Anolis sagrei: one gene and its partners. The protein of the gene in region 1 interacts with the protein of each later gene in a biochemical or structural test. Links are inferred from orthologs where the notes say so. Each region holds a gene or a part of one and is shown in the gene's direction. Other genes may lie near its edges.

The links.
Region 2: the proteins of BMPR1A (region 1) and BMP7 form a complex in vitro, tested with the Homo sapiens proteins (2 studies listed by BioGRID). The link is inferred for Anolis sagrei from reciprocal best matches to the Homo sapiens genes BMPR1A and BMP7.
Region 3: the proteins of BMPR1A (region 1) and BMP4 form a complex in vitro, tested with the Homo sapiens proteins (3 studies listed by BioGRID and IntAct, with this or other methods). The link is inferred for Anolis sagrei from reciprocal best matches to the Homo sapiens genes BMPR1A and BMP4.

What each region holds. Positions count from the first base shown.
Region 1 is NC_090023.1:159,896,272-159,906,310, reverse strand, and holds the start of BMPR1A (bone morphogenetic protein receptor type-1A), read left to right. Parts: upstream 1-5,995; 5' UTR 5,996-6,288; intron 6,289-10,039. UniProt on the Homo sapiens protein: On ligand binding, forms a receptor complex consisting of two type II and two type I transmembrane serine/threonine kinases.
Region 2 is NC_090024.1:227,006,200-227,017,323, reverse strand, and holds the start of BMP7 (bone morphogenetic protein 7), read left to right. Parts: upstream 1-6,675; 5' UTR 6,676-7,043; coding exon 7,044-7,503; intron 7,504-11,124. UniProt on the Homo sapiens protein: Growth factor of the TGF-beta superfamily that plays important role in various biological processes, including embryogenesis, hematopoiesis, neurogenesis and skeletal morphogenesis.
Region 3 is NC_090021.1:337,795,292-337,805,355, forward strand, and holds the start of BMP4 (bone morphogenetic protein 4), read left to right. Parts: upstream 1-5,925; 5' UTR 5,926-6,260; intron 6,261-10,064.

The sequences.
Region 1 (10,039 bases):
AGAGAAGGAAAGAGGAGCAAAGGAAGAAGAGAAAGAAAGAGAAAGAGGGGGAAGGAAGGAAAGACAAAAGGAAGAATGGAAACAAAAACCAAACGAAGGAAGGAAGGAAAGAGGCAGAGAAGGAAGAAAGAGAAAGGAAAGGAAAAGAAAAAGGAAGAAGGAAAGAGGGAGAGAAGGAAGGAAGGAGAGAAGGAAAGGAGAAAAGGGAATGAGGGAAAGAAGGAGAGAAAGAGGGAGGTAAGGTGGGCCACAGCAACGCGTGGCAGGGAAAGCTAGTTAATTCTAATATTCAAACACATAAAGTGTTGGAAAGATATGCAGAAATGTCACTACAAACTTCATAGTATGCTGTGTTTTTAAAAATACTGAGTCCACCCACTGGCATCTGGGAATGTGCTCAAATGCCAATGCACAATTTTTCTGTATAAAACAAAAATATTCAGGCATTTCCTCTTATTAACCCAAATTCTTCTGTTTTCTTTTTTTAAAGTGAGATTTAGCAGGTACACAGAAACATGTCCGATACAGCTAACAGTATATGTTAGATGTTTCTCTTGGTAGGCAACAGCTTATTTCGTACCTAAAAATAACCGGTTTTATAACACGTTGTTAAATAGAAAGGATTTTTTGTGATAAACAAAAGCACTTATTAATGTAAAAATAAGAAACTTTTGGAACCAGTTTTAGACTCTGTGGCAACCACTGGAACAAACATAGGCACGGACCACACCAAAAGCCCATAGTCCTATTAATGATTAAGTTTGCTTGAAACATATATATATATTCTTATGCCAGTAACATATTGAGTTGCTTAAGGGACTTTTCAAAAGACTGCTTTTCACATTGCTGACTTGGAAATTACACAATGTTCCCATTATATGGTCTAATGTTATCTTCCATGTTAATACAGAAAATTACAAGTGGCATTCTTCACTGCCAAATGAATGACACTTGGAACAGGATGCCTAGATTCAAATGTAACCTCAGGGTCATCCTGCTCTAAGCTTGGGCACATCTGGCCATGATCCTCCCTGCATACACAAAATTGATACCATTGTTCTGTTCACTCTGCAGCTTAGTTTGCTTTTATTTTGCTGTATTCATTTTCAGGCTTCTTTTACCTTCATTAGATCCTCTCTTTTTAGGAAAAATATGGCACAAGGGGAACTTTTTATTATCAAGAATTCAAATGAGCAACTTTTAAAAAAAAGACTTGCACCTTTACTTATTTAGGCGATCCCTCGTTTTCCGAGGATGATTGTCTTCCAGTATTCTTGTGGGTCCGTATGGGGATGTGGAGCCCTATTCTTGCTCTGCATCTTCTTCCGCAGTGAGGGCAATGGTTTCCAGGTGGAAGGTGGTCTCGGTCGGGGTTGGCTTGACGTGCCTTCCTCTTGGGATTTATAGTTCACCTACAATCAAAGAGCATTCTGAACCCCACCAATGATGGAATTGAACCAAACTTAGCACACAGGGCTCCCATGACCAACAGAAAAAACTGGAAGGGTTTGGTGGGCACTGACCTTGAGTTTGGGAATTGTAGTTCACCCACCTCGAGATAGCACTGTGGACTCAAACAATGATAGATCTGGACCAAACTTGGCACGAATATTCCATATGCCCAAATATGAACACAGATGGAGATTAAGGGAAATAGACCTTGACATTTCAGAGTTGTAGTTGCTGGGATTTATAGTTCATCTAAAATTAAAGAGCATTCTGAATCCCACAAACGACAGAATTGGGACTAATTTCCCACACAGAACCCCCATGAGCAACAGAAAATACTTAAGGCCATCCAGTCCAACTCTCTTCACCAGGGCAAGAAAATGTAATCAGAGCCCTCCTGACAAAGAGCCATCCAGTCATAAATATAGATAGATAGATATGATTCTCTTTCACACACACAGATATAGTATCATAGATTTGAAAGAGACCCTTAAAGAAGGACTATGATATGTTGCTATTCCAGAGTAGGCAAACCAGACACTCTCCACATCAACACTGACAAAGAAACAACAAGAAATACTGTTTACTCACAAGCATAAAGGAATTACATATATTAGAAACCAACACTTTCTCATTACTTTATTTTCCAGATCACCAGACTGGGCCACAGCAACGCGTGTCAGGGGACAGCTAGTACAAAAATGCAACGTTTGTTTGTGGGATTAACATAACTCAAAAACCACTGGAAGAATTGACACCAAATTTTATACACACACAAAACACATATACACAGATTGGGCCACAGCAACGCGTGGCAGGGGACGGCTAGTTTAAAATATTTTTATCCCTTTTTTCTTTCTTTACATCCTTTAAAACAACCGGGCATGACATAGTTATACAATAATACCACCGGGCAACAAAACCAGTGGAGATGTTAGTCACTAAGATGATGAATGTGAAGTGTTTTGGACACAAAGAGCTTGTACTGCTCTTGAGCCATGAGCTCTCCTCTTCTATTCTGAAGCAATGGCAGTTCTTTCTAAATGCCAGCTTCCAGTATTGGAACTGGAGGGTGGTAGGCTGGAAGGCGAACAATACAGGCCACTGTTTCCCTCTGAAGCTTCACAGAAGGCCAGCTGCCAATTTCAAGCATCTTCAATGCTTTTCCCATCCACTTGTCCTTCACAAACTGCTTGGCGAAGAGGGCACCGTGCCATGAGAAACTGCTGCGATATCCCAATAACATCTTAGTCAGCTGTCAAGGAAAAGACAAGTACATTGGCACAATGCAGGAGTCTCTTTATAGTAGATTTCACAGGCAATGCAACTCGTTTTTCACATTACTAAGCAAAACCCTTCCTTCATTTTTCCTCATGCTGACTGGGACATTTCCATAGGCTGTCAGGTTTTTATATGAATGTGCTGAGGACAATGTGAAAATGCAGTTTTCACAAAGTATTTTTAAGACAGAACAGACTTGATTTTTTAATTTAAAAAAACCCTAATATATTTACCGAACTGCTGTGTGTTTTTTTTAAAAAAAAAGTTGTCATTTTAAATTGTCCTGACCCATTCCTTTTCCATGCCCTAAAAATTAGATATTATTATTATTATTATTATTATTATTATTTACAGCTTTTATATTCCACCCTTCTCACCCTGCAGGGGACTCAGGGCGGATTACAGTATACACATATATGGCAAACATTCAATGCCAATTTTTGACATACAAACATATACAGACATACACAGAGGCTATTTAACTTTTTCTGGCCACCAGGGGAGCTGTCGCTTTCATCGTCCATCTGCGACACTGATGAAGCACTTCCGCATTCCCCGCATGCTTCCCCGCTGGAATGCTTTGCTGGAGTCTTCTTTATGGCCTCATAAATCAGTTAATTTAGCCTCCCCACACTTTAAGGTGGTACCTTATTTTCCTACTTGACAGATGCAACAGTTGCAAAGGTCGACAACAGGCTACACACAATTGGTTGGAAACCCACTCCAACCCTTCGAACTCATGACCTTTTTGGTCAGAGTGATCTTAATGCAGCTGACACTCAGCCAGCTGCACCACAATCCCGGTGCAGATATGAAGAGCAGGCAAGATCTTTTCTTTTAATATTTATGTGTTGTCGGGTAATTCCATGCTTATGTTGCTGTTATTTTTTGTTCATGTTGTGACTCTGTATATTTTGATCTTGTTGCTTGGAAACTGCCCCGAGTCTCCCGAGAGAGACAGAGCGGTATATAAATAAAGTTTATTGTTATTATTATTATTATTATCATCATCATCATCATCAGTTTTAAACATATCATTCCTAAACAAAAAGAAATATGCTGTCCACTCCTGCTTATCTCCAGTTCACCATTATAACTCACTCTTTCTTACCTAATGGACCAGGAATGGTACTTTGGATTGTTGTAGGTTTTTTTCAGGCTATATGGCCATGTTTTAGAGTCATTTTCTCCTGACGTTTCGCCTGCATCTATGGCAAGCATCCTCAGAGGTAGTGAGGTCTCTTGAAATTAGGAAAATGGAATGACCAGGGTGGGGCAAAGAACTCTTGCCTGTTGGAGCTAGGTGTGAATGTTTCCACTGACCACAGGTTAACCCCCTGTGCCGGCAGGACCGAAGACCGACAGGTCGCAGGTTCGAATCTGGGAAGAGGCAGATGAGCTCCCTCTATCAGCTCCAGCTCCTCATGCGGAGACATGAGAGAAGCCTCCCACAAGGATGATAAAAACATCATAATCATCCGGGTGTCCCCTGGGCAATGTCCTTGCAGACGGCCAATTCTCTCACACCAGGAGTTACTCCTGACACACACACACAAAATTATTATTATTATTATTATTAGTCCCAGCATACATGGTGCTATTCTCCCAATATCAGGAGCCACATGGGTTGCCCATTCCTGTAGCAAATAAATACAACTTGGTATCCTGGGCTGCTCACTTCCCCTTATGGAACTTCCACACAGCCATATAACCCACAATATCTGCTTTGAAATCAGGGGCCTTGCACACAGCCATTTAACCCAGAATATCAAGGCAGATAGAATCAAAGAGTTGGAAGAGACCTCATGGGCCATCCAGTCCAACCCCCTGCCAAGAAGCAGGAATATTGCATTCAAAGCACCCCTGACAGATGGCCATCCAGAAAACAAGCTTGCTCCCTCCTCCCTGTGGCTTCCTCTCACATATTTATACATGGCTATCATATCTCCGCTCAACCTTCTCTTCTTCAAGCTAAACATGCCCAGCTCCTTAAACCGCTCCTGCTTATATGGCACCACAATTCAAGAGAGATATTGACAAGCTGGAATGTGTCCAGAGGAGGGCCACTAAAATGATCAAGGGTCTGGAGAACAAGCCCTATGAGGAGCGGCTTAAGGAGCTGGGCATGTTTAGCCTGAAGAAGAGAAGGCTGAGAGGAGATATGATTTGTTGTTGTTCATTCGTTCAGTCGTCTCCGACTCTTCGTGACCTCATGGACCAGCCCACGCCAGAGCTCCCTGTCGGCCGTCACCACCCCCAGCTCCTTCAAGGTCAGTCCAGTCACCTCAAGGATGCCATCCATCCATCTTGCCCTTGGTTGGCCCCTCTTCCTTTTACCTTCCACTTTCCCCAGCATATGATAGCCAGCCATGTATAAATATGTGAGAGGAAGCCACAGGGAGGAGGGAGTAAGCTTGTTTTCTGCTTCCTTGGAGACTAGGATGCAGAACAATGGCTTCAAACTACAAGAGAGGAGATTCCATCTGAACATGAGGAAGAACTTCCTGACTGTGAGAGCCGTTCAGCAGTGGAACTCTCTGCCCCGGAGTGTGGTGGAGGCTCCTTCTTTGGAAGCTTTTAAACAGAGGCTGGATGGCCATCTGTCAGGGGTGATTTGAATGCAATATTCCTGCTTCTTGGCAGGGGGTTGGACTGGATGGCCCATGAGGTCTCTTCCAGCTCTTTGATTCTATGATTCTATCGCCAAAACTTCCCAAGGTCGGAAATGGCGGGGAAGCTCCGCCTCGCTTTCCCCGAAGGCGCCTCCTTCGGGAATCTCCGCCACCACTTCGGCACCCCTTTCTCCTCTCTTTGGGAAAGGTGTATCCCAATGCGCCTGCGCCAAGTTGGCCTGTGCGGGGAGCTGGGGGCCTCACTTTAAAGCCGACCCCTTCCGAACTTATTCGGCTACTTCCGTAGAGAGGCGGGAAGGCAGCCAAATAACACCTTAGGGACTTTAAAAAGAGAGAGCACGGGGGATGGGGAAGGACAGACGCAGGCACGCGCGGAGGGGGGGGGGGAGGTAGAGTCCGCGCGCCTCGCACTTTCCTCCCCAGCCAATCATGGCATGCTTCACGACTAGCAGTGATTGGAATAATTCGAGTGAGTGAGAGAGAGAGCGTTCCAAACGTTGCTCCCCCCTCCTGCCGTACTCCTCAAGCACGCAAGAGAGAGAGCGCGAGGGAGTGTGTGCGCGCGCGCGACGTTTTCCCTCCGCGTCTTCCTGCGCAGGCGCGTGCCCAGACACATCTACACAGAGGCACACGCGCGCGCGCGCGCGCTCACGCTCTGACGAGGGAGGGGGGACGGCGGCGCTGGCGTCGAGAGGCGGCTGTGGTAAAGGCTGTGGTAAAGGCGGAGAGGCCTGCGCTGTCTCCTCACAGTTTTCTCCCTCGTCTTCGTGGGCCGCCTTCGCCTTCGTCGTGTAGAGAAGCCGAGGAAGGTCCCCACCGGGCCAGGCCCTCAGCCGAGGGGACGCGGTTTACCTCAGACCTGCTTCTCTCTCTCTCTCTGTCTCTCTCCTTCCGCACAAAGGAGGATGAAGGCCCCCCGGCACGGGTGAGTGAGGCAAAGGCGGGGAGCTAATGGCGGCGGGAAGGAGTCCCTTCTCTTCCCTTCCGAAAATATTCCCTCCTCCTTTAAGGCCTGGCTTGAATTGCGTTCGTTTTTGCCTTTTAAGAAGCAAGAGACTTAGTCGCCGTCTCCAGACTAAGAGTAGGCGAGGCCTGGCCGGGAGCTCTATGGAAAGACCCACTCGCACACATAGGCCCCTTCCACACAGCTGAATACAATCGCACATTATCCGATTTGAACTGGAATATATAGCAGTGTGGACTTGGGACCCTTCCACACAGCTATAACCCAGACTATCGAGGCAGAAAAAGCCCACAATATCTGCTTTGAATATCTGAGTCCACACTGCCAGTTCGAAGCAGATCTTGTGAGATTTTGGGTTGTTGTAACGATTTATGCCAATGATCCTCGAACTTTTTAAATAGAGGGCCAGGTCACAGTCCCTCAAACTGTTGGAGGGCCAGATTTTTTATTTTTTTTAATAATAATAATAATAATAATAATTATATCTGCAGCATGGTGTAGATCAGTGTTTCTTAACCTTCCTAATGCCACGACCCATTAATACAGTTCCTCATGTTGTGGTGACCCCCAACCATAACACAGAAATGCTGGACCACACCGATAACCACCATGTCAGACTACACAGAGAAGCCATTGAAATCCACAACCAGGTGGACAATTTCAACAGAAAGGAAGAGACCATGAAAATGAACAAAATCCGGCTACCAGTATTAAAAAACTCTAAAATTACAACAGCAAAACAACAGAGAGGAAACAACCAGGCACATCTTAACACCTCTCAGCAAGAGATTTTCCCAGGCTCAGGCAGGCCTTCAAATGCTAATGAAGGTGATCAGTTGAAACATTCACACCTAGCTCCAACAGACAAGAGTTCTTTGCCCCACCCCAGCCATTCCACAGATATATAAACCCATTGTCCTAATTCCAACAGACCTCACTACCTCTGAGGATGCTTGTCATAGATGCAGGCGAAATGTCAGGAGAAATGCCTCTAGAACATGGCTCTATAGCCCGAAAAAACCCACAAGAACCTAGTGATTCCAGCCATGAAAGCCTTCGACAATACATTATTTTGTTGCTACTTTATAACTGTAATTTTGCTGCTGTAATGAATTGTAATGTAAATATCCGATATGCAGGATGTATTTTCATTCACTGGACCAAATTTGGCAGAAATACCCAATACACCCAAATTTGAATACTGGTGGGGTTGAGGGAGATTGATTTTATCATTTGGGAGTTGTAGTTGCTGGGATATATTAGGGTTCACCTACAATCAAAGAGCATTCTGAACTCCCCCAATGATGGAATTGGACCCAACGTGGCACACAGAAATCCCATGACCAACAGAAAATACTGGAATGGTTTTGGAATTGTAGTTCACATACATCCAGAGAATACTGTGGACTCAAACAATGATCGATCTGGACCAAACTTAGCATGAATGCTCAATATACCCAAATGTGAACACTGGTGGAGATTGGGGAAAATAGACCTTGACATTTGGTAGTTGTAGTTTCTGGGATTTATAGTTCACCTACATTCAAAGAGCATTTTCAACCACACCAACGATAGAATTGGCCCAAACATTCCACACAGAACCCCCATGACTAACAGAAAATACTGTGTTTTTTGATGGTCTTTGGCGACCCCTCTGACACCACCTCGCGACCCCCCCCCCAGGGGTCCCAGGTTGAGAACCACTGGTGTAGATATTATTGTATCTGCAGCATGAGCCAGATTATAATTTGAATATGCACACATTTTATGTGTAGTGCAAAAAACCCCTTAAAAACAATACAATAATTAAAATGAAGAACAGTTTTAACAAATATAAACTAATTAGTATTTCAATGGGAAGTGTGGCCTGCTTTTGGCTGATGAGATAGGATTGTTGTTGTTGTTGTTGTTGTTGTTGTTGTTGTTGTGTGCTTTCAAGTCGTTTCAGATTTAGGTTCAACCTGAGTGAGGGCCGGGTAAATGACCTTGGAGGGCCGTATCTGGCCCCCGGGCCTTAGTTTGAGGACCCCTGGTTTATGCGATCTGAAGAGAAACCGGAATATGCCTTGCCTTGTATTCATATATGGTTTTACTGTATGTATACTGTATGTATGGCCAAGTGTATGTTTTGCATGTTTTGATACGGTCAAAATTGACTAATCAATAAAGAATTGTTGTTGTTGTTGTTGGTTGTTGTAGGTTTTTTCTCCTGACGTTTCGCCTGCATCTATGGCAAGCATTCTCAGAGGTAGTGAGGTCTGTTGGAACTAGGAAAATCTATATAAATAAAAATGTAATGTTCATTTGTGGGATTAACAGAACTCAAAAACCACTGGACGAATTGACACCAAATCTGGACACAAGACAAAACCTAACAACCCAATGTATGTTCTTCACTCAAAAAGAATTGATTTTGTCATTTGGGAGTTGTAGTTGCTGGGATTTATAGTTCACCTACAATCAAAGAGCATTCTGAACCCCATCAACGATGGAATTGAACCAAACTTGGCACACAGAACTTCCATGACCAACAGAAAATACTGGAAGGGTTTGGTGAGCAGTGTCCTTTGGTTTTGGAGTTGTAGTTCACCTACATCCAGAGATCACTGTGGACTCAAACAATGATGGATTTGGACCAAACTACACAAATACTCAATATGCCCAAATGTGAACACTGGTGGAGTTGGGGGAACATAGAATCTTGACATTTGGGAGTTGTAGTGACTGGGATTTATAGTTCAAAGAGCATTCTGAACCTCACCAATGATAGAATTGGGCCAAACCTCCCACACAAAACCCCCATGTCGGCCACAGCAACACGTGGCAGGGGACGGCTAGTGGGTTTATATATCAGTGGAATGACCAGGTTGGGACAAAGGACTCTTTTCTGTTGGAGCTAGGTGTGAATGTTTCAACTGACCACCTTGATTAGCATTTGATGGCCTGGCAGTGCCCGGGGCAATCTTTTGTTGACAGGTGATTAGATGTGCCCGATTGTTTCCCCTCTGTTGTTTTGCTGTTGCAATTTTAGAGTTTTTCAAGATTGTGAGATTTTATTCGGCAGTGTGGAAGGGGCCTCAGATAACATAATTCAAAACAGATATTGTGGGATTTTCTGCCTTGATAGTCTGGGTTATATGGCTGTCTGGAAGGACCCGTAGACATTACACTCCTTGGCTGAAGCAAGTCAGGAGCTGTTGGGTTTGGGGGGGGGGGGGGGAGTATACCTGCTCTTTTGCACACGCTCCCATTAAAATAAACACACCTCACCGCGCTGCAGCTTGACTTCCTCACAAACCGAGGCAGGATGGGTCTGGCACAGGCTTATTTTGGGAGGGAAGGGCGAAGAAGATAGGAATGGACTTTCCCCGAAGATCCAAGGCCCCTTCCACCAAACTGTATAAAATCCACGTTGAGTTGGATTATATGGCAGTGTGGATTCATTAATCCAGTTCAAAACTGGTATTACCAGAACTCCTTCCACAGAGCTGGATTATATGGCAGTGTGGACTAAGATAACCCAGTTCAAAGCACATATTGTGGAGTTTTCTCCGTTGATATTCTGGGATATATGACTGAGTGAAAGGGCTCCTAGACAGTTCAGTTCCAGGCTGTTTGGCCTTTTGTACGAATCTGTCCTGGTCCTGAAATCTTCAAGAGAGGCCCTTCTCTCTGCTCAGCTGGTGGGCCTTCTCTGGCCCCTTCCACACAG
Region 2 (11,124 bases), on another chromosome or scaffold:
TGTGCAATAAAAAATTCTGGCAGCTACTGTTTACCTTGTTGGTTGCAAGCAGGCACAGGAACTACAGCTAGTGCAGAATCCCATTCATTCTCAGCTCAAGCTTTATTGCACTGTTTACTACAACCAATCTGTTGCAACCCAACATTGAAAATCTATGTCTCTTCAGATGCCCTTGAACGTATTCCCAAACTTCCCAGCAAACCAGAACAATAGAAGAGAAGGGGGAGGCTGGATGGGCATAAAAAGATTTTAAGAAAAGTGGTTCCTTTCTCAGAAGCTTTGTAAACTGAGGTATGTGCATTGTGACAGTTTCTAAAGCCCAACTCACAATAGATCCTCTCTCTGTGAGGCAAGATTACAGAAATACAGCATACAGTTATATACATGGAGTGTCAGTTTTGTCTATACCAGAATTCAAGGCAAGATACAACAAGCAGATGTGGGTGGGGAGGATCAAGAACTGTTAAGATCATGCTGTGACATAAACTAACAATGTTGGTATCAAGCTATTTCACTATCTTGATTAATTTAAATTACTCCCTATCAAACCACAAGCTGGCTCAGCTTCAGCATTTCCATGTCACCCTTTATTTTCCACCAGGGAGGAAAATGATTTTTCAGCAATGATATGTTTATTATTGCTGAAGAAATCTTCTTACTGAGTTTTATGGTTCTTAGCTGTTAGTTGAATCAGGCCTATTTGGGAGGAGAGAAATCTGTGATTTGGTTGCAATACTTAGTGATTCTCATCCTGTGGGTCCCCAGATGTTTTGGCCTTCAACTCCCAGAAATTCTTACAGCTGGTAAACTGGCTGGGATTTTTGGGAGTTGTAGGCCAAAACACTTGGGGACCTACGGATTGAGAACCACTATGTGAGTTATCCCTCATTATCCCTGATACCTTTTCAATTTTCATCATGACTTTCTGAGCAGAGCTTGGAAAAGTTACCTTTTTTGGACTACGTGAATTGTATGCTGGCAGGAAATATTTTGGGAATCAGAGTCCCAAAAATAATGTTTTCAAGCTCTAGTCTTGGGCAAGTGAAGCTTTTTCTATAGGGTTGTTGATATATTTATCATGATCTTACTAGAACTTGCTGTAAGGTTGTTTCTGCTCAGCTCCTTTATTCAGAGTCACAGTTATTCAAATGTTTCAAAACAAATACTAATGGCTCAAGAAAAACTAAAGTTGGGGTGAGGAAGTTTAAAAGGAATTGTTGGGCATTTTCATTTGGGAGGAGGAGGAGGAAGAGATGAAGGAGAAGGGGGCAGGTTTTATCTGAGACCTTAACAGGAGAACAGCTCCTCATTCTTTCTTTACAATGGGAGTGAGACGGTATTGGGGTATTTGGTACTTCCAGGAGTTGCATCACTCCTTGCAAATGAAAGAGAAATACCTGAAGGTTACTTTTTAATATAGGCATGTTTTTGTTTTTGTTTTTTGTGAAATAATGTGTGCATGGATGGGTGTGGCGTACCTTGTTTTAGAGAATTACAGCCTTCAGCTAATGGGTTTTTAGGGTTTTGTTTTTTTTAAGAAAATGACTTCTTGTTTGGATATAATTTTATTTCATAAATAGCCTTTAGTGCTGGAAAAATGTCTGCATAATTCCTTCCTCTAACAGATACCAGGGCTCAGGTTTTTCTTCTCCTGAATCTTTGCAGAGCAACCAGCAGGATGGAGCTCCACAGTGTAATGATCTGGCTCTTGAAAAAATGTTTGGTGACAGATTGTAGAGGAGCCAGTGCTGGCTCCCTCAGAAGAGAAGGCTGTGAGGAGACATTATAGCTATGTGTAAATATGTGTGGAGAAGTCATAGGGAGGAGGGAGCAAGCTTGTTTTCTACTGCCCTGGAGACTAGGATGCGGAGCAATGGCTTCAAACTACAGGAAAGGAGATTCCACCTGAACATGAAGAACTTCCTGACTGTGAGAGCTGTTCAGCAGTGCAACTGTCTACCCCGGAGTGTGGTGTAGACTCCTTCTTTGGAGGCTTTTAAACAAAAGTTGGATGGTCATCTGTCGGGTGCTTTGAATGTGATTTTCCTGCTTCTTGGCTGGGGGTTGGACTGGATGGCCCACGAGATCTCTTCCAACTCTATGATTCTTGGCCACAGTGAGGCACCCACTTCAGGCAGTAGATATTGGAAAACAATAGAAGCCATCTCCATCACTTCTTTCACCCTTCTTATTTCCTAATAGGATGTCCAGTATGCAGATTCCCCTCCCCTACCTGCAAAAATCCAGTGCCTTTTATAACTGGCAAGTTACCAGCCTTTCTTGGCAAAGAAGACCAAAGACCTTGTAAAACTACAACTCCTGTGGCTCAAAGCTATGGGTTCCTAGGCATTATACTTTGGTTAGACACCAGTATTCTGTCAGGGAAAGCTTGTAAAATTAAAACTCCCATGAATCCATGGCATGGAGTCATGGCAGTTACAATGGTGTCAAGCTGCATTAGTTCTACAGTGTAGATGCACCCCCAAAACTCTGGAGAGCAGAGTTTGAATCTCTACTCAGCCATAGAAACTCACTGGGTGACCTTGAGATGAAGGTTCATACAACCCCCCCTCTCTAAAAAAAAAAATCAGCTTTCAAAGCCCAGCAACAAGTTGAGGGTGGACAACAAATCCAAAGAAAATGAGCAGAGCTAGTGACCAGGAAATAGGAACCCACAAAATAGAAGAGTTCTGATGGGTAGAAAGGATTTTTAGGGTTGTAGGTTTTTTGGGCTGTATGGCCATGTTCTAGAAGCATTCTCTCCTGATGTCTCTCCTGATGTTTCACCTGCATCTATGGCAGGCATTGTCAGAGGTTGTGAGGATGCCTGCAAAATGTGAGATGCAGGCAAAACGTCAGGAGAGAATGCTTCTGGCCATGAAAGCCTTTGACAGTAAATTTCCAGGGTCTCGAATTCTGGTCTCCAAACAGGCTTTTTTTGGAGGGGGGTCTCTAAAATGTAAAACTAATGTAGTTTGGCATCACTTTAACTGCAATGGCTCAATGCCATGGAATCATGGGTGTGATCTTCAGTCTTCTCTGCCAAACAGTGCTGGTACCTCACCAAACTACAACCCTAAAGAGCATTGAGTTCTGGCAGTTAGAGTGGTATCAAACTGCAGGAATTCCACAATGTAAATGTGCTCTTTGACAAGTAAAGACGTGTCTATCCATTCTGACCATCAAGTGTCCATCTTCCCCCATGTACTGGATATTAAAAAATCACCATCCTAGGGGAGGCATGAGCAAACTTGGGCTCTCCAGGTGTTTTGGGGTTGGTCTCTCACAATTCCTAACCACCCTGGGTCCTTTCCTTTCCCTCCTCAGTTGCTTAAAGGCCTGAGGCTGTTAGGAATGGTGGGAGAGAAGGCTGAGAGGGGATATGATAGCCATGTATAAATATGTGAGAGGAAGCCACAGGGAGGAGGGAGCAAGCTTGTTTTCTGCTTCCCTGGAGACTAGGACGCAGTGGAGGAATGGCTTCAAACTACAAGAGAGGAGATTCCATCTGAACATGAGGAAGAACTTCCTGACTGTGAGAGCCGTTCAGCAGTGGAACTCTCTGCCCCGGAGTGTGGTGGAGGCTCCTTCTTTGGAAGCTTTTAAACAGAGGCTGGATGGCCACCTGTCAGGGGTGATTTGAATACAATATTCCTGCTTCTTGGCAGGGGGTTGGACTGGATGGCCCATGAGGTCTCTTCCAACTCTTTGATTCTATGAGTTCAACTCCAAAACATCTGGAGGGCCCAAGTTTGCCCATGCCTGTCCTAGAGGAACACCATTGAGGCAGATCTCCAGACCTTTGAGGCAAGAGCTTCTGTCTCTTCTCTCCCCCCCCCCCCCTTTGGATTTTCTAAGGATACTTTTGGAGATCAGAAAAGAAAGACAGAGGAGAAGAGGAGGAGGAGGTGGAAACCTCCTTTGCCAGGGAATGTCGAAGCTGTCTGAATTCTTTCCACTCCAGGAACGAGTCAAGGGGTCCTCCTCCTTTGGGTTTCCTTTAGACACGTTGGGAAACCGAAATTAGTAACAACAGGAGCAGCAAAAGACTGTCCTCTTCCAGGAGTGTGTTGGGCCATCCTCCTTTGAATCCTCTTCCCGCCAGGAAGGAGTGGAGGGGTCGTGGGAGATTTCCCAGGCAAGAACTTGTGTGTGTGTGTGTCCATCTCCTTTTGGATTCCCTTGGAGACGTTTGGAAAACGAGGAGGAAAAGCAACAAAAAGAACAGGAGCAATCCTTCCCCTGCTACGAACAAGTTGGTGATCCCCCAATCTCCCAGGCAAGAACTTGTGCGTAACTCTTTGGGTTTCCTTGGGACGTTTCTGGAGACCAAAGAGAATAATAATACCACAATAATAGGAGGAGGAGGAAGAGGAGGAGGAGGAAGAGGAAGAAGAAAAGGAGGACGAGGGGGAAGAGAAGGAAGAAGAGGAGGAGGAGGAACAGCCACCACCTCTTTTTTCAGGGCTGTGTTGAGACTGTTTGAACTCTGTGTTGTCAAAGGCCTTCATGCCCAGAATCACTGGGTTGCTGTGAGTTTTCTGGGTAGTATGGCCACGTTCCAGAAGCATTCTCTTCTGAAGTTTTGCCCACATCTATGGCAGGCATCCTCAAAGTTTGTGAGGTATATTGGAAACTAAGCAAGTGAGGTTTATATATCTGTGGAAGGTGGGAGAAAGAACTCTTGTCTGTTGGAGGCAAGTGTGAATGTTGCAATTAATCACCTTGATTAGCATTGCAAAGTCTGGCAACTTCAAGGCCTGGCTGGTTCCTGCCTGGGGGAATCTTAGCAGGCTCTGTTACTGAGTATTCTTTTTTTACTATCCTAACTTTAGAGTTTTTGTTAATACTGGTAACCAGATTTTGTTCATTTTCATGGCTTCCTCCTTTCTGTTGAAATTGTCCATGTGCTTGTGGATTTCAGTGGCTTCCCTGTGTAGTCTGACATGGTGTTTGTTAGAGTGGTCCAGCATTTCCATGTTCTCAAATGATATGCTGTGTCCAGGTTGGTTCATCAAGTGCTCTGCTATGGCTGACTTCTCTGGTTGAGTTAGCCTGCAGTGCATTTCATGTTCCTTGATTCCTGTTTGGGCAATGCTGCCTTTGGTGGTCTCTATGTAGCATTCTGAACTCCACCAATGATGGAATTGAACCAAACTTGGCACACAGAACTCTTATGACCAAAATAAAATATTGAAAGGGTTTGGTGGGCATTGACCTTGAATTTTGGACTCAAACGGTGATGGATCTGGACCAAACTTGGCACGAATACTCAATATGACCAAACGTGAAAACTGGTGGAGTCTGGGGGAGATAGAGCTTGACATTTAGGAGTTGTAGTTGCTGGGATTTATAGCTCACCTACAATCAAAGAGCATTCTGAACCCCACCAACGATAGAATCATAGAATCATAGAGTTGGAAGAGACCTCATGGGACATCCAATCCAGCCCACTGCCAAGAAGCAGGAAAATTCCATTCAAAGCACCCCCGACAGATGGCCATCCAGCCTCTGTATAAAAACCTCCAAAGAAGGAGACTTCACCACATTCCGGGGCAGAGAGTTCCACTGCAGCAGAAAACAAGCTTGTTCCCTCCTCCTCTCACATATTTATACATGGCTATCATGTCTCCTCTCAGCCTTCTCTTCTTCAGGCTAAACATGCCCAGATCTTTTAGCTCCTCCTCCTCATAGGGCTTGTTCTCCAGACCCTTGATCGTTTTAGTCCTCCTCCTCCTCTGGACACATTGCAGCTTGTCAACATCCCCCTTCAATGGTGGCGCCCAGAACTAGACACAGTATCCCACACAAAACCCCCATGACCAACAGAAAATATTGTGTTTTCTGCTGGTCTTTGGGGACCCCCCTGACAGACTCCTCGCGACCCCCCCCCCCCCCCAGGTTGAGAAACGCTTCTCTAGTGCGACAAGGTCCTTTGTGGGCCTGCAGATAGTTTGTATGTTGTGTTTCTTCATCAGATTCCCTATGCAGTCAGTGGTTCCCTTGATGTAGGGCAAGCAGGCATGTGGGGGGGGGGGGGAGGGGGGGGGGGCTTGAGGGGCTTCAATCCCCCCCCCCCCCAAATTCTCATGGTGGTTCGCGAAAAGGCCTTACTGGTGCATTATTTAAACTGTTATGTTTATCCATATCATGATCTGATCACCATACTCAATATATCCCATATGCATGGGGGTATTGGGGTAACGATACAAAAGGTTTGCTAGGCTAGACCCACTTTCACTCAGACTCAGCCCCCCAAATCGAAATCCTGGCTACGGGCATGAGGGCAGGCATCCTCAGAGGTAGTGAGGTGGGGTGTAAGTTGTGTTTCTTCATCAGCTTCCCTATGCAGTCAGTGGTTCCCTTGATGTAGGGCAGGCATCCTCCAACTGCGGCCTTCCAACTGTTTGGGGCTCCAACTTGTTCAATTGTCAGGAATTCTGGGAGTGGAAGGGCCAAACAGCTGGAGGGCCGCAGTTTGAGAAAGCCTGATGTAGGGTAAGAGGATCCCGCCTTGCCCTTCTTGTTTGAATTCTTCTCCGTGGAGGAATCGCGGAACATCCCCAGATCTCCGCGGCGAGAGTTTGTGTGTGTTGTGCGTGTTTGTGTCTCCTCCTCCTCCTCCCTTTCCTTCGGAGTTCCTTGGGACACTTTTGGAGAGAGAGAGAGAGAAAAGGAGAAGGAGAGGGACCCGCCTGGCTCCGCCCTTGTCCCGCCTCGCCTGCTTTGGCGGAGAGCGGCGTCCTCCTCCTCCTGCTGCTGCTCTCCTTCCTCCTCTCCTCTCGCTCTGCACCGGCTCCAGAGCCCTTCTTCGGACTCACTCGGCGGCATCCTTCCTCTCCGAGGGACTGACTCCCTCTCGCCTCCTCCGTTGCTCTGGATGGCTCCCGCGGACTGAGCCCGCTCCTCCTCCGGATCATGCGCGACCGGGGCGAGTGAATCCTTTGGCGGCGGCGGAGGCGGCGGGCGCTGCTCCTCGGATCCGCGGCTCCTTCGGCTCCCGTCCGCGCCCGGCAGGGTGGGCTTTCGGCGGGGCTCCGGCGATGCTGCTGGGGCTGCTGGTGCTGTGGGCGGCCCTGGAGCTGCGCGCCTCCTCCTCCTCTTCCTCGCTGGCCGACTTCACCTTGGAGCACGAGGTCCACTCCAGCTTCATCCACCGGCGGCTGCGGAGCCAGGAGCGACGCGAGATGCAGCGGGAGATCCTCTCCATCCTGGGCCTGCCCCACCGGCCCCGGCCCCACCTGCACGGCAAGCACAACGCCGCCCCGCTCTTCATGCTGGACCTCTACAACGCCATGGCCGGCGGAGGCGGCGGCGGCGGAGGGGCCGAGGAGGAGGCGGCGCTGGGCATGGGGGGCGAAGCGGGCGCCGAGGCCGCCGGGCTGGAGGGCTACTCCTACCCCTACAAGCCCCTCTTCAGCACCCAGGCACCCCCCCTGGCCAGCCTCCAGGACAGCAACTTCCTCACCGAGGCAGACATGGTCATGAGCTTCGTCAACATGGGTGAGTGCGTGGCTCCCCTCCTCCGCTCAGGCTGATACCCCACTCGTGGCTCATTGCGCTTCTCTGTATGCCAGGGGGCATCCACTCACTACACTGTAGAGCAGGCACAGGCAAACTTCGTCCCTCCCTCCAGGTGTTTTGGATTTCAACTCCAAATGGTGGGAGTTGAAGTCCAAAACACCTGGAGAGAGGGCTGAAGTTTGCCCATGCCTGGTCTACCGGCTGTTAGGAATTGTGGGAGTCGAAGTCCAAAACACCTGGAGGGAGGGCTGAAGTTTGCCCATGCCTGGTCTACCGGCTGTTAGGAATTGTGGGAGTTGAACTTCAAAATGCCAGGAGGGAAGGTCGAAGTTTGCCCATGCCTGTCCTCGAGGAACACAGTTGAGGCAGATCTCCAAATCTCCGAGGCAAGAGCTTCTGTTTCTCCTCTTCCCCCTTTGGATTTCCTTAGGAGACTTTTGGAGACCGGAGAAGAAAGACTGAAGAGAAGAAGGAGAAAGCCTCCTTTGCTAGGGATGTCAAAGCTGTTTGAATTCTTTCTCCGCCTGCTGTAGAGTGAATAGGCTGAAGGCCTCCTTCTCTGCCAAAGAGTGCAGGTGCCTCACCAGATCCCAAAACTCAAAAGCATAGTTTGACACCACTTGTATTTTAATGTGGCACTGGAACTATTTCACAGAGGAAGTTAAAGACCACAGCTTCCCTGGTTCCCAAGTATTCCGCCATGGCACTTCAGATGCACCTTCCATGCAAAGTTAGAAGGATCTGGATGCCCTTGCCAATACCTGATTCTATGATAGCATCATAGAAGCATAGAATCATTGAGTTGGAAGAGATCTTCTGGGCCATCTAGTCCAACCTCATTCTGCCAAGAAGCAGGAAAATCACATTCAAAGCACCCCCGACAGATGGGCATTCAGCCTCTGCTTAAAAGGCTCTGAAGAAGGAGCCTCCACCACACTCCGGGGCAGAGAGTTCCACTGCTGAACAGCTCCCACAGTTAGGAAGTTCTTCCTAATGTTCAGGTGGAATCTCCTTTCATGTACTTTGAAGTCAATGTTCTGCATCCTAGTCTCCAGGGCAGCAGAAAACAAGCCTCTTCCCTCCTCCCTATGACTTCCCCGCACATATTTATATGTGGCCCTCATCATGTTTCCTCATCCTTCTCTTCTGCAGACTAAACATGCCCAACTCTTTAAAGCCGCTCCTCATAGGGCTTGTTCTTCATACCCTTGATAATTTTAGTCACCCTCCTCTGGACATATTCCAGCTTGTCAACATCTCCAATCAATGCTTCTGGAACATGGTCATACAGCCCAGAAAACCTACCGCAACCCAGAAGTTAAAGACCATGTAAAAGTATAGCTTTGCATGCTCTCATGATAGTTAGGTGCACCTTCCATGCAAAGTTAGAAGGATCTGGATGCCAGTGCCAGTTCTGATGCTTGTCACCCTTAGGTGCCCATTATTCTAGTAATTCTCACTGGGGTGGAAATCTGCCATGGACTCTTAGTAGGCAGTATTACCTATGCATTCTGATGGTGGCTAGCAGTCCTTTTCAAAGTTCTTATTTCATGTCAAAACAATTGCATAAATAGATAAGTTTAAAATTGATAAAATAAAGGGATAACAAGCTGCTAAATAGATTTAGACCAAAAATGGGCAACAGCAACTGCATTGTCTGTAGCTTTAAACAGTTCTTCCTCTGTGCATGAGGCAATGCATAATGGACAAGTATACAGATACTGAGTTGTTTGTTCTGCTCTACAGTTACACAAGGTGGAGGATTATTTTAAGGTAGTGGATCTCAACCTGAGTCCCCAGGTGTTTTTGCCAACAACTCCCAGAAATCCTAATTTACCAGTGTTAGGATTTCTGGGAGTTGAAGGCCAAAACATCTGGGGACTCACAGGTTGAGATCCACTGTTTGTTCTAAGCAGTGCCATTTTGCTAGGTTGTCTTTTAATCTGCCAATTCACTTCTGAGTCTGTTCAAGGACTTTCAAATTGCTCATTCTTGGTTTGCCTCTGGAGGAAGACCCTCGTAGGGGACCATCTAGTTGGAATTGCCTGATTTTGCTGCCCACAGAGATATTCTTGCTGTTGCTGGAGAAACATGATGAGGAGTGGTGGTTCTCGTGAAACAGTTCCTTGATTTAAGTTTACTAGGAGGAGGCTGGTAGCCATACAGTGGGTGGCTCTCATAGTGTGAAACCTTATTTCTCTCACAATTGGCAGCAACTTCCCATCACACATAGGGGAGGGGGGGATGCCAGCTAGCTTGCTTATTTATTTATTTATTTATTTATTTATCATGTCAGGGGCAACCAGACCATCTACAAGCTAACATAGAGTCTATCAACAGGTGTAGATTAAAGATATCTTGTGATTATTCTATGAATGCCCCCAATGCAATGCTGCTCTGGGGCACTGTAGAACATTAAAATGGTCCAGAAGAATAGGATTTGCCGGAGGATGATTTGCTTTGGAACCTGGAGCTGAATCTGCTTCAGCTTTGCTTTTTGTACTGGTGGTTACCAATCGACCTGATGGCACGAATTATGTGATTGCTGTATTATGCCTCTGCTTCTGTGCTATTGCTTGAGCTCCACCACTTCACCAAGAAGTAGTATACAGTGCTTTAAAAACAACCACCAGATTTAAAACACTTTTGGGAGTCTCTCCTTGTGGGTGTGGCACAACCTGGTGCAGAAAGGTTTGATGCAAATCTCTTCAAATGATATCTCTCCCCTTTCTAAAATTGTTTTACTTTTTGAACTCACCTATCCTGCTACCAATCACTTAGATAGTAGAATAATTGCCCAGGTTCATAGTACACTCATTTGTGTGCTGTATGTTGGTGTTTTGCTCAAATATCTGTGGATCTAGATCCTTATCGAGACTGGATGGAGATACAACTTTTCTCTATACTGTGGAAATCTCCATTAAAATCAAATAGTGAATCTTCCTAGTGGTGATGGGACAAGTCAAGGGGGAAGGGGGAGGGGGAGTGTTGCCTTTGTAAATCTAATGTGAACCATTCAGGGATGTTCTGGGATAACTCAGCCTGTCCATATGATCTCGGATGGTTTTCCCTGGTTCTGGGTCTTGTCCTTTTCAGTATCTTTGTGTCTTCCCTTGTGAGTATCCCATATTCCCCATAATTGAGTATTTTCTTCAGTGTGAGAATAATTAATTTAGCAACAACTCAGTCAAATTAAGCCTATATAATGAAGCCCCCGGTGGTGCAGTGGGTTAAAGCACTGAGCTGCTGAGTTTGTTGATCAAAAGGTTGCAGGTTCGAATCCGGGGAGTGGCGTGAGCTTCCGCTGTCAGCCCCAGCTTCTGCCAACCTAGCAGTTCGAAAACATGCAAATGTGAGTAGATCAATAGGTGCTGCTCTGGCAGGAAGGTAATGGCACTCCATGCAGCCATGCTGGCCACAAGACCTTGGAGGTGTCTACGGACAATGCCGGCTCTTCAGCTTAGAAATAGAGATGGGCACCACACCTCAGAGTTGGACACGGCTGGACTTCATGTCAGGGGAAAACCTTTACCTTTACCTAAGTATATAACTTTCCTTAGGAGCAGTTACTGGACAGCCACCTTCAATACTTTTCAAGAG
Region 3 (10,064 bases), on another chromosome or scaffold:
CCAGCTCTCTTGGGCAGCAAGGGCAAAAGACCTTGGAAAACTACAACTTCCAGGATTCCGTACCCGTGAGCCACAGCAGGTCAATTGGTGTCAACCTGCATTCAACCTGCAGTCCTTGTTCAATGCTCCCACACTGTTAAACAATGCAAATACAATGCAGAGAGGATAGGTGTTAAAACATCCTGTAAAAACGAGGCTTGTATTGTTTTACAATTTGTCTAATAATGTTATTTACTGACATACTATAAGAATGCTGCCCCACCAAACCATGTGGATGGGGTTCAACAGTATCACAGAACAGCACTGGATCTCTCCCCTCCCTTCTCTACTTCTATTCTTTCTCTTCCTTCCTCTCTCTCAGTCCTTCCTTCAATCCTTCCTTCTTTTTTCCCTCCTTCCTTCTATTATTTTGTTCCCTCCCACTCCCTCTGTCCTTTTCTTTTTTGCTTTTCCTTCCTTTCTCATTGTTCTTCCTTCCTCCTCCTATTTTTTTCCTTCTTTCTTTTCCTTCTTTCCTTCCTTCCTTCCAGTCTTTCTCTCTCTCTCTCTCTGTCCTTCCTTCTTTCCTTTTCCTTTCTTTCTCCTTCCTTCCTGTACTTTCGTTCCTCTCTTGTTGTCCTTCGTTCCCCTTCCTTCCTTCCTTCCTTCCTTCCTTCCTTCCTTCCTTCCTTCCTTCCTCCTTTTATTCTTACACTCCTCCCTTCCTTTCCTTTCCTTTCCTTTCACTTCCCTTCCCTTCCCTCCCCTTCCTTTCCTTTCTTTTCCTTCCTCTCATTGTATTTCCTTCCTTGCCTGCTTTCCTTTCCTTCTTCCTTCCTTCCTCCTTCTAATCTTGTCCTTCCTTCCTTCTTTTCTTTTCTTTCCTCTGTCTCTTCTTTCTTCATTGCTTTTCCTTCCTTTCACCTTCCTTCTTTTCTTTCCTTTCCTTTCTTTCTTGTGGTCCGTCCATCCTTCCTTCCTTCCTTCCTTCCTTCCTTCCTTCCTTCCTTCCTTCCTTCCTCTTTCCTTCCTCTTTCCTTCCTTTCTCCTCCTCCCCTCCCCTCCCCTCCCCTCCCCTCCCCTCCCCTCCCCTCCCCTCCCTTCCCCTCCCCTTCCCTTCCCTTCCTCTCATTGTATTTCCTTTCTTGCCCACTTTTCTTTCGTTTTTTCTTCCTTTCTCCTTCTAATCTTGTCTTTCCTTCCTTCTTTTCTTTTCTTTTCTTTCCTCTCTCTTCTTTCTTCATTGCTTTTCCTTCCTTTCTCCTTCCTTCCTTCCTTCCTTCCTTCCTTTCTTTTCTTTTCTGTCTTGTTGTCCTTCCTTCCTTCCTTTTCTTCCTTCTTTCCTCACCTTGTCCTTCCTTCCTTCCTTCCTTCCTTCCTTCCTTCCTTCCTTCCTTCCTTCCTTCCTTCCTTCCTTGTGTTTCCTTCCTTCCTTCCTTCCTTTTCTTTCCTCTACTTTCCTTCTTCCCTTCAAAAATGGAGTCCCTGCGAAATGGAATCAGCCACTATGTTTGCATTACTTCACTTCGGGCGATTAAGTTCCTAATCCTATTTGAGTTTAATGGGCGGGAAGGATGGACAGGGAGAGGAAAGAACATTTCTGGATTCCTTGGGTGACTGGATTGTGCAAAGGACTCTCGGCTGAGCCTGAAGAGATCAGAGAGGGTTTGTTTCTTTGCGCAGGTAGCAAAGTTTTATGGGAATTACAAGAAAGCCCTTCTGGAGGGCGAAAGAGAACTTAGGACAGGAAACAATGGAGACAAAAAGATTCAACCTCAAATCCTGGATCAGAGTCAACATCTCATTATTCCCTCTTTTTATTTCATCCTTTCTGTAACTTAATTTTTTAAAAACTGGCAGGTCGCCGAGGGCACATTTTTCGAAATGGTTCCACAAAATGGAATTTATCTATTTTTCCTTCCATTAGAAGAATGAACTTTTAGTTTTAAAGAGACTCTAATCCTTGTGCAATTGTCCCTCCACATTGGTATTTATTTATTTACAACATTTCTACTCTGCCTTTCTCTAGCCCAGAGGCAACTCATGGTTGCTTCACAACCAGAGTTATAAAATACATACATTAGACCTTTAAAAACAAAACAAAACAAAACCCCAACATCTTCACAATTAGCCTCATTATCCAAAGTCATTGTCAGGGCTGTTCCAAGATTCAATTGCACATAATTCTGCGTTTATCTATTGCACTGGATTCCAGAAGGCTTGCTCAAAAAGCCACATTTCCCCTTTTGTCCAGAAGGTCAGGAGGGAGGAAGTTCCATAGCTGAGGGGCCACCACTGAGAAGGCCCTGTCCCTCGTCCATGCCAACCGAGCCTGCGGAGAAGATGGAATTGAGAGCACGACCTCCCCAAGATGATCTTAAATTCCTAAATGGTTCATAGGGAGAGATACGTTCAGACAGCTAAGCTGGACTGAAACTATTTAGGGCTTTATAGGCTAAAGCCAGCACTTTGAATTGTGCTCAATAGCAAATTGGCAACCAGTTGAGCTGACGTAACAGAGGAGTTGTGTGCTCCCTGTGCACTGCTCTTTTTTTTATATAATTATCTTTATTGAATTTTCAAATATAAAACAGACAAAACATTTAACATATAATCGAAACAGAAGGAGGAGGGGGGGTTTAAGGGGGGTAGAGGGTGGGGGGGATGTTAGGTCCAACTGTATTACCTGGGTTTCCTAAACAAGTATGCAAATATTTCTGTCTGACGACTTTGTGACATCCTGATACACCTGCGCACTGCTCTGATGTGCAATCCATTTGAAACTTCCGAACAGTCTTCAAAGACAACCCCACGTAGAGCGCATTGTAGTAGTCATTATGACTTTTGTGAATTTATAGTTTAAAAGTTAAAAAGTCCACAGCTGCATGGTATACTGTAGACTCCTGCAGAAGTGAGAGGATCCCTCTTGTCCTTTGCTGAACGAAGCATTGGTTGGATTTTCTTGGTAGGTCTGTAGATAGTTTGTATGTTGTGTTTCCTTATCAGCTTCCCTATGCAGGAGTCTACTGTATTCCATGCAGTTGTGGACAAGTCTACACAGGGACCCCCAAACACAGCAGCATTGCCCAAACACACATCAAGGAACATGAAAGGCACTGCAAACTACTTCAACCAGAGAAGTCAGCCATAGCAGAGCACCTGATGAACCAACCTGGACACAGCATATTATTTGAGAACACAGAAACGCTGGACCACTCTCACAACCACCATGTCAGGCTACACAGAGAAGCCACTGAAATCCACAAGCATGTGGACAATTTCAACAGAAAGGAGGAAACCATGAAAATGAACAAAATCTGGCTACCAGTATTAAAAAAACTCTAAAATTAGAACAGCACTACAACAGAGAGGAAACAAACAAGGACATCTAATCACATCTCAACAAAAGATTGCTCCAGGCACTGCCAGACCATCAAATGCTAATCAAGGTGGTCAGTTGAAAAATTCACACCTAGTTCCAGCAGACAAGAGTCCTTTGTCCCACCCTGGTCATTCCACAGATATATAAACCCTTTTTCCTAGTTCCAACAGACCTCACTACCTCTGAGGATGCTTGCCATAGATGCAGGCGAAACGTCAGGAGAGAATGCCTCTAGAACATGGCCATATAGCCCGAAAAAACCTACAACAACCCATCATCAATACATACAGAGTAAACAACATAATCATAAGATTAACAAAACAATATAAGCATAAAATTGTCACCATAACACATACATATTAAAAGTAATTCTGCCTGTTCAAGGCAATTTACAAGGCCGGGCTGAGATTAGTGCAAGCTCAAAAAATCTAGGGGGGGCAGGAATCAAGTGCAGTGTTATAGTAGGATCTATGGCTGATTCATATCCAGGGCCTATTAGAGGAAGTGACATGGGTAATTGGTAGGAGGAATAAGGCCATATTCCACAATGTCTAGGGCTGAGCTAGAACTAGTTGTTCACAAAGACGTTGAAACCACCAGGTCTTCAAGGCCTTACGAACAGAGGGGAGGGATGGGGCCTTTCTAATTTCCCTGGGGAGGGCATTCCAGAGGCCCGGGGGGGGGGGCACCACTGAGAAGGCCCTCTCTCTCATCCCCACCAACCATACTTGTGACGGTGGTGGGAGCGAAAGGAGGGCCTTGCTAGAAGATCTTAAGAGTTTGCACTAGTTCATAGAAGGAGATGTGATCACAGAGAATGGTGGGGCTCAAACCATTGTAGGTCTTGTTCTGAATGTGCACAGATGACATTGTCATCAGCATATTGCAGTTCTATAACAGATGTTTTCACAACAACATATAATAATATAACATAGTATATTATAATAAGTATAGTATAGTATGGTATAATATACAATACAATACAATATAACATAATGTATCATTTCTTGGGCTTCCATGAGAAACTTTTGCTTCAAAAAGGGCTCTGCGGCTGCAAAAGTTTGAGAACCCCTGCTCTAATGCAATCCCAAACCGTATCATATGGCTGTGCTGATCCAGTCTGCCAAGAAGGGACCAAATCTTAGGGACTGGCCAGTTGTGTGTGTGTTTGGGGGGAGAGGAGAGTGGGCGGTGCTTCGTCTCCATGATTGACAGGCCAGGATAGCAAAGGGAGGGGAGAAAGAACTCCAGCAGACGAGAAAGAACTCTTGTCTGCTGGAACTAGGTGTGAATGTTTCCAGTATGTTTCTGCAAAGGTGTTTAGGGTGGCTTGTAGGTCTTCTTCTGAATGTGCACAGATGACGTTGTCATCAGCATATTGTAGTTCTATAACAGATGTTGTTACAGCACCCTATAATATAATATAGTATAGCATAATATAATATGGTATGATATAAGTGGCTTGTAGGTCTTCTTCTGAATGTGCACAGATGACGTTATCATCAGCATATTGTAGTTCTATAACATATGTTGTCACAACAACCTCTAATATAATATAGTATAATATAATGTAATATGATATAAGTGGCTTGTAGGTCTTCTTCTGAATGTGCACAGATGACGTTATCATCAGCATATTGTAGTTCTATAACATATGTTGTCACAACAACCTCTAATATAATATAATATAGCATAATATAATATGATATTATATAAGTGGCTTGTAGATCTTCTTTTGAATGTGCACAGATGACGTTATCATCAGCATATTGTAGTTCTATAACATATGTTGTTACAGCACCCTATAATATAATATAGTATAGCATAATATAATATGGTATGATATAAGTGGCTTGTAGGTCTTCTTCTGAATGTGCACAGATGACGTTATCATCAGCATATTGTAGTTCTATAACATATGTTGTCACAACAACCTCTAATATAATATAGTATAATATAATATGATATGATATAAGTGGCTTGTAGGTCTTCTTCTGAATGTGCACAGATGACGTTATCATTAGCATATTGTAGTTCTATAACATATGTTGTCACAACAACCTCTAATATAATATAGTATAATATAATGTAATATGATATAAGTGGCTTGTAGGTCTTCTTCTGAATGTGCACAGATGATATTATCATCAGCATATTGTAGTTCTATAACAGATGTTGTCACAACAACCTATAATATAATATAATATAATATAATATAATATAATATAATATAATATAATATAATATAATATAATATAATATAATATAATATAATATAATATAATATAATATAATATAATATAATGTATCATTTCCTGGGCCTCCATGAGAAACTTTTGCTTCAAAAAGGGCTCAGCTGCTGAAAAAGTTTGAGACCCCCTGCTCTAATGCAATCCCAAACCGTATCATATGGCTGTGCAGATCCAGTCTTCCAGGAAGGGACCAAATCTTGGGGACTGGCCAGTTGTGTGTGTGTTTGGGGGGGGGGGGGGGGGAGGAGAGTGGGCGGTGCTTCGTCTCCATGATTGACAGGCCAGGACAGCAAAGGGAGGGCCTTGCCGGGCTCACGTGACCCTCCCCGGGGCTGGAACCGAGAGAGGGAGAGAGGGAAAAAAGTTGGGGGGAAGAAAGCAGCAATCCCTTGGCTGGCCCGTCCCAGTCTAGTCCAAGCGGTGCATTTGGCAGGAGGCGCTCCGGAGCGGCAGCGAGAGCAGCAGCTGGCTCTTCCCTCCCATGCTCGGCACCAGAGCCCTCCGCACTGCTCCCTTTGATCCGCGTCGGTCCCCGCTTGCCTTCCCCGCGCCAGGATCCCCGCTTTTCCCTCCCACGGATCCTACGAGCTCCGCACTGGCTGTCAAGAAGAACCATGGACTGTTTCTATCTGCCGTGCTTTCTGTCAGTGAGTAGCGCTTTGCTCCTTTCCTTCCTTCCTTCCCTTCCCTTGGATTCAAAACAACACCCTTATTATAGCATTATTAGTATGATTAGTACCCATATTAGCATGATGAGTATTGGTACTATCAGTATAGTTGGGTTGCTGTAAGTTTTTCGGGTTGTTTGGCCATGTTTCATTAGGAAAGACTTGGAGAGATGTGCATTTTGTCGGAGGATTTTGCTCCTTCCTTTTCTTCCTCTGGATCCAAAACAACACTCTCACTATAGCATTTTTAGCATGATTAGTACCCATATTAGCATGATGAGTATCAGTACTCTCATTATAGTTGAGTTGCTGTGAGTTTTCTGGGCTGTTTGGCCATGTTTCATTAGGAAAGACTTGGAGAGATGTGCATTTTGTCGGAGGATTTTGCTCCTTCCTTTTCTTCCCCTGGATCCAAAACAACACTCTCACTATAGCATTATTAGCATGATTAATACCCATATTAGCATGATGAGTATCAGTACTCTCATTATAGTTGGGTTGCTGTAAGTTTTTCGGGCTGTTTGGCCATGTTTCATTAGGAAAGGTTTGGAGAGATGTGCATTTTGTCGGAGGATTTTGCTCCTTCCTTCCTCCCTCCTTTCCTTCCTTTTCTTCCCCTGGATCCAAAACAAAACTCTCACTATAGCATTATGAGCATGATTAATACCCATATTAGCATGATGAGTATCACTACTATCAGTATAGTTGGGTTGCTGTAAGTTTTTCGGGCTGTTTGGACATGTTTTATTAGGAAAGGCTTGGAGAGATGTGCATTTTGTCCGAGGATTTTGCTCCTTCCTTTTCTTCCTCTGGATCCAAAACAACACTCTCACTATAGCATTATTAGCATGATTAATACCCATATTAGCATGGTGAGTATCAGTACTCTCATTATAGTTGAGTTGCTGTGAGTTTTCTGGGCTGTTTGGCCATGTTTTATTAGGAAAGGCTTGGAGAGATGTGCATTTTGTCCGAGGATTTTGCTCCTTCCTCCCACCCTCCTTTCCTTCCTTTCCTTTCCCTGGATCCAAACAAAACTCTCATTATAGCATTATTAGCACGATTAGTACCCATATTAGCATGATGAGTACCAGTACTCTCATTATAGTTGAGTTGCTATGAGTTTTCTGGGCTGTTTGGCCATATTTCATTAGGAAAGGCTTGGAGAGTTGTGCATTTTGTCGGAGGATTTTGCTCCTTCCTTCCTTCCTTCCTCCCTCCCTCCTTTCCTTCCTTTCCTTTCCCTGGACCCAAACAAAACTCGTATTATAGCATTATTAGCACGATTAGTACCCGTATTAGCATGATGAGTATCAGTACTCTCATTATAGTTGAGTTGCTGTGAGTTTTCCGGGCTGTTTGGCCATGTTTCATTAGGAAAGGCTTGGAGAGATGTGCATTTTGCGGCTTTTGTCGGAGGTTGGGTTCCTTTCTCTTTCTCTCTCTCTTCTACTCCGAGTCTTAACTTTCCTGCCCGGTTTACTCCGAGTTTAGTTCAATCAGTAGTTGAGCTTTGTTTTACTCGAGAGGAAACCCACACAAGAGGCTTTGTGTCCCCAAAAGAAAACCCCAAACTTGGAGGAACTTGGAGATTCGCGCTCCAAAAGCAAAGCAGCGGCTCTTTCTTTCCTTGCGCCCCAGGATTTGGTGTTTAGAGCCTTAAAGCGAAGGCACTCCACTCTCTTGCGTGTATTTATGGTTAAAGGTAGAGGGACTGGGATAAAGAACTGGGAGAGGAACTGGGGAGGAAGGAGTTTGGGGCAGAAGCTTTGGCCGACTTCAGCCGACTTCATCCGATGCGCAATTGCGCATCCGATGAAGTCGGCTGAAGTCGGCCAAAGCTTCTGCCCCCAAACTCCTTCCTCCTCATTTTCTCTCAAAGCTACAACTCAACTCTTCCTCCCCCAACTCCTTTCTCTCAGTTGCCCTCCAAGCTGCTCTAAATCCCCGCTTTGCAGGCTACTATTTCAAGAGAAAACCAGGCAATGATGTTCTTTGCAGTACGCGCATGGTCTGGGATAGGAAAGTCCCAAGTCCTTCCCACCCAAGATCTTCAGGAGCAACTCTTTCCAAAAGCCATTTCCACTCAGGACCTTGCCCCAAGTCCTTCCTACCCAAGATCTTCAGGAGCAGTCCTCTCCAAAAGCCTTCTCCACTCAGGACATTGCCCCAAGTCCTTCCCATCAAAGATCTTCAGGAGCAGCCCTCTCCAAAAGCCTCCCACACTCAGTACCTTGCCCCAAGTCCTTCCCACCCAAGATCTTCAGGAGCAACCCTTTCTAAAAGTCTTCTCCACTCAGCACCTTGCCCAAGACTTTCCCACCAAAGATCTTCAGGAGAAGCCTTCTCCAAAAGTCTTCACTCAAGACCTTGCCCCAAGTCCTTCCCACCCAAGATCTTCAAGAGAAGCCCTCTTCAAAAGCCTTCTACACTCAGGACTTTGCCCCAAGTCCTTCCTACCCAAGATCTTCAGGAGCAAACCTTTCCAGAAACCTTCTCCACTCAGGACCTTGCCCCAAGTCCTTCCCACCCAAGATCTTCAGGAGCAGCCCTTTCCGAAAGCCTTCTCCACCCAGGACCTTGCCCCAAGTCGCTCCCACCAAAGATCTTCAGGAGAAGCCCTTTCCAAAAGCCCTTTCCACTCAGGACCTTGCCCCAAGTCCTTCCCACCAAGATCTTCAGGAGCAGCCCTTTCCAAAAGCCTTCTTCACTCAAGACCTTCAGGAGCAGCCCTTTCCAAAAGCCTTCTCCACTCAGGACCTTGCCCCAAGTCCTTCCCACGCAAGATCTTCAGAAGCAGCCCTTTCCAAAAGCCTTCTCCACTCAAGAGCTTCAGGAGAAGCCCTTTCCAAAAGCCTTCTCCACTCAGGACCTTGCCCCAAGTCCTTCCCACCCAAGATCTTCAGGAGCAGCCCTTTCCGAAAGCCTTCTCCACCCAGGACCTTGCCCCAAGTCGCTCCCACCAAAGATCTTCAGGAGAAGCCCTTTCCAAAAGCCCTTTCCACTCAGGACCTTGCCCCAAGTCCTTCCCACCAAGATCTTCAGGAGCAGCCCTTTCCAAAAGCCTTCTTCACTCAAGACCTTCAGGAGCAGCCCTTTCCAAAAGCCTTCTCCACTCAGGACCTTGCCCCAAGTCCTTCCCACGCAAGATCTTCAGAAGCAGCCCTTTCCAAAAGCCTTCTCCACTCAAGAGCTTCAGGAGAAGCCCTTTCCAAAAGCCTTCTCCACTCAGGACCTTGCCCCAAGTCCTTCCCACCCAAGATCTTCAGGAGCAACTCTTTCCAACCAAGGCTTTGAACTGGACCTTGCCCCCAGTCCTTTGCATCCAGGATGTTTTCACTGGATCTTGCCAAAAAGTCCTTCCAACCCACTCAGGACCTTGTGAAAATTCCCTTGTAGCCAGGACGCTTCACTTCCGCAGAGGGATTTTTTCTCCTCTTAGCAGCTGGCATCTCCGGCCCCCTTCTACACTGCCCTATAATCAAGATTATCAAAGCAAATAATGCACTTGAGTCTACACTTGCCAGATAATCCAGTTCAAAGCCTGATCATCTGGATTTTATATGGCCTTTCTCCCTCTCCCTCTGTCCCCTATGCTGCCCTCTGGGATTGCTTAACAACCAGCAAAACATACTATAATATCATAAGGATATGCTCCCAAACAGAAATCTGGGCTTGGAAGGAGATGAAGGAAAGGGATGCACAACGTTTGGTGTTTTTTTGAAGTAAGGTCAAAGTCTTCCTGGAAAAACTGATTTTGGGAGAGAGAGAAAGAATGGATGG